Linked DNA regions of Neurospora crassa OR74A. The protein of the gene in region 1 interacts with the protein of each later gene in a pairwise test. Links are inferred from orthologs where the notes say so. Each region holds a gene or a part of one and is shown in the gene's direction. Other genes may lie near its edges. The genes, in order: NCU09808 and NCU07724.

Region 1 (4,454 bases):
GGCAGGGGTAACAGGTGTTTGTGGCGCAACTTGCAAGCTTTTGACAAGACAGACGATTCGCGAAATGGAAGGAGACGTCGGCAAAGGCCAAAAATGTTTTTTTTTTTTTTTTTTTTTTTTTCCTTTTCCCCCATACATGTCATCAAGCAACGCTGGTTACAACTCAAGCCTCTCACCACCGTAACTCTCCCTTCACGCCCTTTTCAGCCTCAGCGGCCGGCTTGGGCGTACTTGATGGTTCGTCTTCCTTGAAGCCTAGGTTTTTGAAATCATCTTTGGCCATCAAGTTGCTGAATATCGCATGGTTAGCGCGGGACCAGACAGAGACATTCAGGGAGTTGTAGCTGCCACCCACCGTTCCATGCGGCATGCGAGATAGGCCTTTGCCAGCGATCGACACTCATCTTCGTTGACTCCCTTGACCCTCTTGATGCAGGCAAGGTAGGTTGTCATGACGTGTTTGCATTCTCCTGGAGGGCAAAGTATGCGTGAGAGCTGAGACCAGTGTATACATGCATTGGTGCTGAGCCTTACCGTCATGATCCAGGGGAAAGCTGCCTCTCTGGGGCCTTGAGGTGTTGTTGGTCAGTTGGACAAGCCTTCAGGGTAGAACATTGCATTCTGGGCTCGTGGACTTACGGCGTGGGTTTTGTTGTTGGCAAGGCACCGGGACTTCCAAAGGTACTCATATTGCAAAGCCGGTGACGGTGATGAACTGCCGCAAAGTTGGTAGAGGTAGTCAAACGAAACCAGGGCAGGGCAGGGTATTTTGGTTTTTGTTTAGCTTAGGTAGAGGTACCTCTAGCTTTTACCAAGTTTTGGGTTCCCCCCTCTGTGGTTTTCCTCCTCTTGCAGGGCGTTCGCAGCTGGGGATTCGAGGTGTGCAACTGCCCGCTGGAGTCTTGAATGCGGATGAAGTGCTCCTGGAAATCGGCATTCCAGCACGGTCTCAGCTACCTGGACCCTAACGTAGCAGGCTCATGAAATGCCTGCCCACGGGGTAAGCTTTGTTAGTGCAGTTGAGCAAGCGCTGAATGGGAAGGCCAAGGGCATTATGAGGTCCCCGGGTTCGGTTTTACCGGAAGGTGGCAGCACGGGAGGTTACAGATTACTAGGTACTGCGTAGGTAGGTACCTAGGGTGGATAGTGGATCGTGGACAGAGATACGCTCGGGACCATGGAGCTACGGTACGAACGAAGTCGGCTTGATGTCCATGGGGAACTACCGGTATAAACCTCAAGGACTTTCTGCATGCATCCCGGAAACAGACTCCGATGTTCAGATCGGCAGGCCAGCGACATGTGCTGAGTGGACGACCTCCGAAGGTCCCGTCTCTCCCTCCGCCCTCCGTCCACCGTTGTCTGAGCCCGCGGTCCGCAGCCCGGCCGGGAGCCAAGAACTTCGGATCAACGGACAAGCCAGATGACGCACCGTGTAATGCCTGCTCATCCCCGCCATCCCGCCTTCCGCCGTCCCCGCTGTCGAATTTCAACCTCTATACCTATAGTGTAGTGGTGTAGTGGACAATGTACATAAGAGGTGCTTGTCTGTGGAGCCGTGGCAGTTGAGCTTCAAATTCTGAACTCTTCTTTGAGCCGCCGAGAGCCAGTCACAGACCCCGGTGTGTTGTCGGGTACACAGGTCAACGTGCCGGTTGCATGAAGGCCTGGAAACCTGTTCATCAGGCCGGGTCGGGTTCGATTTGCCCGGGTGCAGGCGCGACGACAACGCATCAAGGGAACTGCCCCCTTTGAGCGAGGTTTTAAACTTTTGACGACCAAGTGAAAGTGGGGACGTGGAATTTGACCCGAGGGGACCATGGACCGACCCCTCCCTCTCCCTCACTGTGTCGAGTGAATGGGTGTTTGCAACGCTTTGGATTCTGGAAGCGCGCCCCCCCTCCCCGGGTTATAGATTTTTGGCATCCACATCGACGTCCGCATCCACATCCACACTCACCATCGAGGCGCCGCGACAACTACTGAGGGCATCCCTCATCGCTTCAGGTTTCGAGCTGTCTGTGTGCTGCCTTGAACTCGTTGTACGTATTGGCTGCACTTGGATAGATCATTGATCGCCTCGTGCCTTGTCCCGCCAGTCAGCCAGCAACAGGCAACACAAGTTTCGGTTGTAAACTCTTTTCCTGTCCTGAAGCCGATCCGATTGATCCAAACCACCTGCCCGACTCGGTTTCTGTCGCCAGCCTCTTCTCCTGCCACCCGCCCGCACAGCCGCCAACCACCACCTAGCACTCGTCTTGTATTTACCCATTTTGTGAATCGACGAGACCATCGACCCTCAGATAAACCCGGGAGCCCACTTGCCCCCATACACCCACCCGGTCCCGTGCGACCGCCCGAATCGTGACCTCGTCCTGCCCGACCTCGGGCCCGTTTTCACACTTCCGTCTTGCGCTCAACTCCCGCTTCCGCCCACCTTACCGCTTGCGTTTGCGCTTTCTAAACGCGACTGATTTTCTCGGCTTTTTCCCCCCGCTCAACCGTCATCATGGCTGCCCTCGGTGACGATCTGCTGGGCGTTGTCAACAAGTTGCAAGACTTGGTCTTCAACACCATCGGCAACGATTCCCTGGATCTGCCCCAAATCGTACGCAATACCCGCCCACCACCTTCACCTGTCCGCTCCATGCCCGCAACCGCTCCTTGCCCCATCGTCCTTCTTTCCCCTTCCTTTTCCGCCACCAGACTGCTGACGACCCCTGCTCTCCATCACAGGTTGTCGTTGGATCCCAGTCCGCTGGAAAGTCGTCCGTCCTCGAGAACATTGTCGGTCGCGACTTTCTTCCCCGCGGCAGTGGAATCGTTACTCGGAGACCCCTCATTCTTCAGCTAATAAACGTCCCCGCCGACGACGACGCCGAAGATGCAACCCATCCCAGCTACAGGAACCCCAATGCTGCTGGCCGCAACGAGTGGGCAGAGTTTCACCACATTCCCAATCGGAGGTTCACCGATTTTGGCGACGTCAAGCGCGAAATCGAGAATGAGACCGCGCGAGTTGCGGGTACCAACAAGGGAATTAACCGCCAGCCCATCAACCTAAAGATTTTCTCTCCCCACGTTTTGAACCTAACGCTCGTTGATTTGCCTGGTCTCACAAAGGTACGCCGCTTTGAAGCTCTGGTGAACATGCCGTCATAACTTGGTCTAACGTATATCCGTGCAGGTTCCCATTGGAGACCAGCCTACAGACATAGAGAAGCAGACGCGCAACCTCATCTCCGAGTACATTGCAAAGCCCAACAGTATTGTCTTGGCTGTCTCGCCTGCTAACGTCGACATTGTGAACTCGGAGGCCTTGAAGCTTGCCAGGCATGTCGATCCCATGGGTAGGAGGACCATTGGTGTTCTCACAAAAGTCGATCTCATGGATCACGGAACAAATGCCCTGGACATACTGTCTGGTCGGGTCTACCCGCTCAAGCTTGGTTGGATTGGCGTGGTAAACAGATCGCAGCAGGATATTCAGGGCAACAAGCCCATGGAAGAGGCCTTGAAGTCCGAGTCCGAGTTCTTCAGGCATCATCCCGCGTATCGAAACATCTCCACCCGTTGCGGAACTCAGTTCCTCGCCAGGACCCTCAACACCACCTTGATGGCTCACATTCGCGAACGCTTGCCAGACATCAAGGCTCGTCTTAATACCTTGATGGGTCAAACCCAGCAGGAACTGGCAAGCTACGGGGACATGCACTTCAGTGGCAAGGAGCACCGAGGTTCTCTTATTCTGCAGCTCATGACCAGGTTTGCGTCATCTTTCATCGCGTCCATTGACGGTACCTCAACGGAAATCTCGACAAAAGAGCTCTGCGGCGGTGCTCGCATCTACTACATTTTCAACTCGGTCTTTGGAAGCTCTCTGGAATCGATCGACCCCACTTCCAATTTAACCGCGCTCGATATCCGGACCGCGATTCGCAACTCGACTGGTCCCCGGCCTAGTTTGTTTGTGCCTGAGATGGCCTTCGATCTCCTTGTCAAGCCCCAGATCAAGCTTCTTGAGCCACCCAGTCAGCGCTGCGTAGAGTTGGTATATGAGGAGCTCATCAAGATCTGCCACACTTGTGGCTCGACTGAGCTATCGAGGTTTCCCAGGCTGCAAGCCAAGCTCATCGAAGTTGTTTCTGACTTGCTTAGGGAACGGTTGGGTCCCGCGTCCAACTATGTCGAGTCGCTAATTTCCATCCAGAGGGCTTACATCAACACTAACCACCCCAACTTCCTCGGTGCGGCTGCAGCAATGAGCCACGTTGTGAGCAATAAGCAGGAGAGAGAGAGGAAACGTCTGATTCAAGAGGAGCGCGAAAGACGTGAACGGAGACGGCTGAAGGAGCTTGGCACGAATGCCACCGAGACCCCTATTGAAGGGGAAGAAGAAAGTACTACCCTGGAGAAGACGGACAACGTCCACGTGCGCAAAACCGCTGGAAAGG
Region 2 (4,342 bases), on another chromosome or scaffold:
CCTCCACCACCTTGGTAAGAGGAATCACGAACTCCTCGTACATAGCGACGACGGCCTCGACGTTAATCTTGCGCTGGCTCTCCGCCTCGGAGGCGCCTATTGACGGGTCGGTACCGTAGGTTTCCGCCTTAAGCTTCAATCTCTCCAGCACCTTCTTCTCAACAGCCTGGTTGGTGATAGCCTCTCCAATGGCTTCGCGATCACCGGCCTGGATGTACTTTGTGAACTTTTCCGTCTCAGACTGGAACTTGGATTCGGCGACAAATTTGCCAAAGTGAATGCGCCGGGAGATGGCCTGCAGGCAGGCGATATCGCAGGTAGCAGAGGAACCGTAGTTCTCCTTGTTGACACCACGATCCTCACGGCCAAAGTCGGGGCACACGCTGGGAAGGAACTTTTGCGTATAGAACTCTTTGATCTGATCGTTCACATTGACGTTGTTGGGGTGGAGGATCTGGGGGTAGTCGATCGACTCGAGGATGGGCTTCTGCACGGCGTCGGGGAAGAAAGGGTATTCGTCGGGTGACTCGTAGCGACGCATGAGGGACTGGAGACGCTCCTGCTGCCACAAGTACCAGTCCATCAAGCTGAGGTCGGTGTCGGGGAGCGGGACGGCGCCAGGGATGTAAATGTTCTTATTGAGGGGGAATTGAACACGCTCGATCAAATGGAATATGATGGTGTCCTCTAGACGGCTGTTCGACACACGTATCAGTTGGCATAGGTTCCAGGATTGTCGAGGTGATCGTTCAGTGCTTGAGCTCTCTCTTGACTCACATTAGCTGGTAGCGAATGCGCGAAAGATCAAGCGCCTTGTCGACGTCAGACAGTTCGATGATAGCGTCCATCTTGAAAGCCGAGGTGTCGCGGTAGGTGCAATAACGGCTTGGAATAGAGATTTGGGTTATATGTGCAAGTAAGATATCAATTGACAAAGAAGACAAGAGGCAGTTGTTGTGTACAGTGAGCGTTGAGTCCCTCCTGAGGACCCTCAACCGGCAGAGTTGGGACCAAACAATCGCAACTTCGATATCGGACAACAATCAGATTCCCACGTTGCAACGGCCCTGTTAAAATTTAGGTTGTTCATTTGTACATTGGTACATATGACGCACCAATACTGCGGATCCGGTACCCCACTGGCCCTCCAGCGGCTTTCTTGGCAGACACCGGATCCCTGCTCTCGTTACACCCCCTTCTGAACGGAGGCCGAGCCTGAATTGGCGCGTCGCTTGCGTGCGGGGAACCAGGGCCAGGGGGGTGAGGGGAAGAAATGGGAATTGAGGGGGCGCGCTATCGGCTGGCCGGGAAATCCACCTCCCCGCCAACATGCTGCGACCAGCCTGCTGCCAGCCGCAGAGACCGACCACCGAGGGCCCAGTGTGTTTAGAGGGTACCTTTCAAACTATGTGTCCCAGAGACGTGTGGTGGTAGCTGTTAACAGACTAGCTAAAGTGATTCCTGCCACGGTGCTTCACCAGGTTCACACATCAAATTTGTGCCGCATCCACGCGCGCGAACTTGGAGCGAGGTACCTTACCTGATCAACCTCTACAACATCGGGCCATCCGCAGCTGCTGCAATTGATTCAGCCTGCCGTGGTTACATGTTGCTGCCGCGGACTCTGACATTGACAACATCGCTTCGGCATCGCTACCACTAGCCGCAGCTGCGCTCGATTCCCGGCCGTGCGATTTGGCAGCGATAGTAGCGCCCGCAGGATTTTTCTCGCGTCGTCGTCCAAGTGTCCTGCTTCTATTCGACCTCTTTGCGCTTTAGTAGTTCGTCGGGCGGCAACAACCTCTTGGGCATTTCTTTGAACCTTTTTCGATTGGGTAGCAGCCTCCCGGTGCCAACGGATGGCCAACTCCGATCAGAACCGTGATGTGTTCCCGGACGATGTGTCGATTGATGACGATACCTCCGTAATCTCTGTGAGCTCTCCTCACCTTCGTCTCCCGCACTCTGTTCACCACCATGATGACACCCTTCTGCCTCTCCTGAGTCCTTTCCGCATTGCGCTTGGCGCAGCCCAAGAACCACAAACTAATGCAAGATGGGTGAACTGCAACAGACTCGGGGTCTCGAGGCCTTCGGTCGCAAAGTGACGACAACAGCAAGTCACTTGATCGGCCCCATCACCGACCCGACCTCTCATCCTCACTACCAGACCGCCATGACCGAGATACACAAGCAGCTCCAGAAGCCCACGCTTCAACGGGGCGTCTTCGCTATAGCGCGTACGACGCCCACCGATTTAGTGCGCTCCAAGCTGTCGTCAAAGGAAATTCAATCTCGAGCACTGGCCTACGTGCCCGATGAGCTTCTCAGAAACATCCCTGCCAGCTCCAACTCATACTCGTTATTCCAGGGCTTTCAGGCCAGTTTTCCCGACTTTACCGATGATGGAAAGAAGCACAAGCGACGGGTGTCTCGGGGGAGGAAGATGCTCGATGAGAGCCCTGTGCAACCAGGAAGCCCGCACGCGGTACAGAGGTTAAAAAAAGATAAGGCGTCAATGATGCACCAACTTGAAATGCTTGGTGTTCGGAAAAATATGGCTAGCAGCGAGATCCGTGAGATTGATAACAAAATCGCCAATCTGCACGGCATGCGCAAGATCATCCTCGACAGGCTCGCTAATCTTGAAAAAGAGGAGGCAGTATTAGAGCATGACAGTAAGTGTTTATGCGCTTAATCTTGGGACCTCCTACTAACCGCAACTGGCAGTCATGGATGTTGAGAGCAGGCTAGACGAAGCTCAAGAACTTGCTGATGAGGCGGAATCGTTGGCGATGGCGACACCGAACAAGTCTGAGGAGGATCTATCAAGAACTGAAGAAGGATTCATGTCGCAATCCATCTACGAGAAATTACCAGCAGCCAACACTCCTCCTGGAAAAAAGAAGCCTCGCAACCATCGCAAGAAGACACTCCCGATTCTCCACGAACATTTCGAGCCAGGCACGATGATTCGCTCGATGCGCGCGCACCAGGATAACATCACGGCTCTCGACTTCGATGCTCCCTTTGGTCTCATGGTTTCGGCTGCAATGGATGACTCGGTTCGTGTGTGGGACTTGAACGCCGGGCGCTGCATCGGTACTCTTGAAGGTCACACGGCATCTGTACGCACTCTTCAAATTGAAGATAACTTCTTGGCTACTGGCTCTATGGATGCGACAATCAAGCTGTGGGACCTGAGCAAGGCCCACTACGACCCTCAGGGTAGCCAGGAGGTTGATGAGGAGGACGAGGACCTTGCGTTTGTCAACCCGAACGATCACGCAGTCGATCCGCCTGCCGGAAGCATGGCTGATTGCCCTCTTTTCACTCTCGAGGCCCATCTCGACGAGATTACGGCCTTGCATTTCAGGGGAGATGTGCTCGTTTCTGGCTCCGCCGATAAGACGCTTCGTCAGTGGGATCTTACAAAGGGTCGTTGCGTGCAGACATTGGACGTGATGTGGGCCGCCGCCCAAGCCACCGCAATGGGCAGCAGTGACGGTCCCTGGAGACAGACCAGCCGCTCTGCCGACGGATCCGCAGACTTCGTTGGTGCCCTGCAGGTCTTCGAGTCTGCTCTGGCTTGCGGTACTGCTGACGGTATGGTTAGACTCTGGGATCTTAGAAGTGGACAGGTGCACCGTAGCCTGGTTGGACATACCGGCCCGGTTACTTGCCTCCAGTTTGATGATGTTCATCTCGTCACTGGCAGCTTGGACAGAAGCATTCGTGTAAGCAACTTCCTCATTCTGCCATAACACTACGAAACCGAGTGGCACTGACACTGCTCCTTATCACAGATTTGGGATCTTCGCACTGGATCAATCTTCGACGCTTACGCATATGATCACCCTATCACCAGCATGATGTTTGACACCCGCCGGATTGTTTGTGCTGCTGGTGAGGATGTGGTTAAGGTGTACGATAAGGTTGAGGGACGGCATTGGGACTGTGGCGCCGGCATCACTGAGGCTGAGAAGGCCAAGTCCCCTGCAATCGTCGAACGCGTGCGCATCAGGGACGGCTACATGGTCGAAGGCCGTCAAGACGGTGTCGTCGGCGTCTGGACATGCTAAAGGCGACATGGTCCGCCGGGGGGGGGGGGTTGCATTGCTTGTACAAATACGACATCATACGACACGACTTACACTGGATTGGAGAAAAAGGGGCGGCCACGTATATTGGTGTTCATGAGTTTATGAAGAGGACTCGTCTAGCGACAAAATGAAGTCATTGTTAGGGTTGGCTGGATACCTTGGGTCTGTACGAGTGTAGGTTCGCAATGGAACTATACAGCAGTTACATGTATCTCTCATCTGTGCAAAACTGAGCCCCT

The links.
Region 2: the proteins of NCU09808 (region 1) and NCU07724 interact in a two-hybrid assay, tested with the Saccharomyces cerevisiae proteins (9 studies listed by BioGRID). The link is inferred for Neurospora crassa OR74A from reciprocal best matches to the Saccharomyces cerevisiae genes DNM1 and MDV1.

What each region holds. Positions count from the first base shown.
Region 1 is NC_026501.1:4,118,374-4,122,827, reverse strand, and holds the start of NCU09808 (dynamin-1), read left to right. Parts: upstream 1-1,476; 5' UTR 1,477-2,509; coding exon 2,510-2,608; intron 2,609-2,736; coding exon 2,737-3,123; intron 3,124-3,187; coding exon 3,188-4,454. Other genes in the region: NCU09809 (mitochondrial copper ion transporter), read right to left, coding at 173-290, 356-470, 535-569, 640-689. UniProt on the Saccharomyces cerevisiae protein: Microtubule-associated force-producing protein that participates mitochondrial fission. Fission of mitochondria occurs in many cell types and constitutes an important step in mitochondria morphology, which is balanced between fusion and fission.
Region 2 is NC_026504.1:2,079,198-2,083,539, forward strand, and holds the start of NCU07724 (mitochondrial division protein 1), read left to right. Parts: upstream 1-1,491; 5' UTR 1,492-1,859; coding exon 1,860-1,934; intron 1,935-2,074; coding exon 2,075-2,678; intron 2,679-2,730; coding exon 2,731-3,737; intron 3,738-3,806; coding exon 3,807-4,082; 3' UTR 4,083-4,342. Other genes in the region: NCU07725 (chorismate mutase), read right to left, coding at 1-695, 778-848. UniProt on the Saccharomyces cerevisiae protein: Involved in mitochondrial fission. Has a partially redundant function to CAF4 in acting as an adapter protein, binding to FIS1 on the mitochondrial outer membrane and recruiting the dynamin-like GTPase DNM1 to form mitochondrial fission complexes.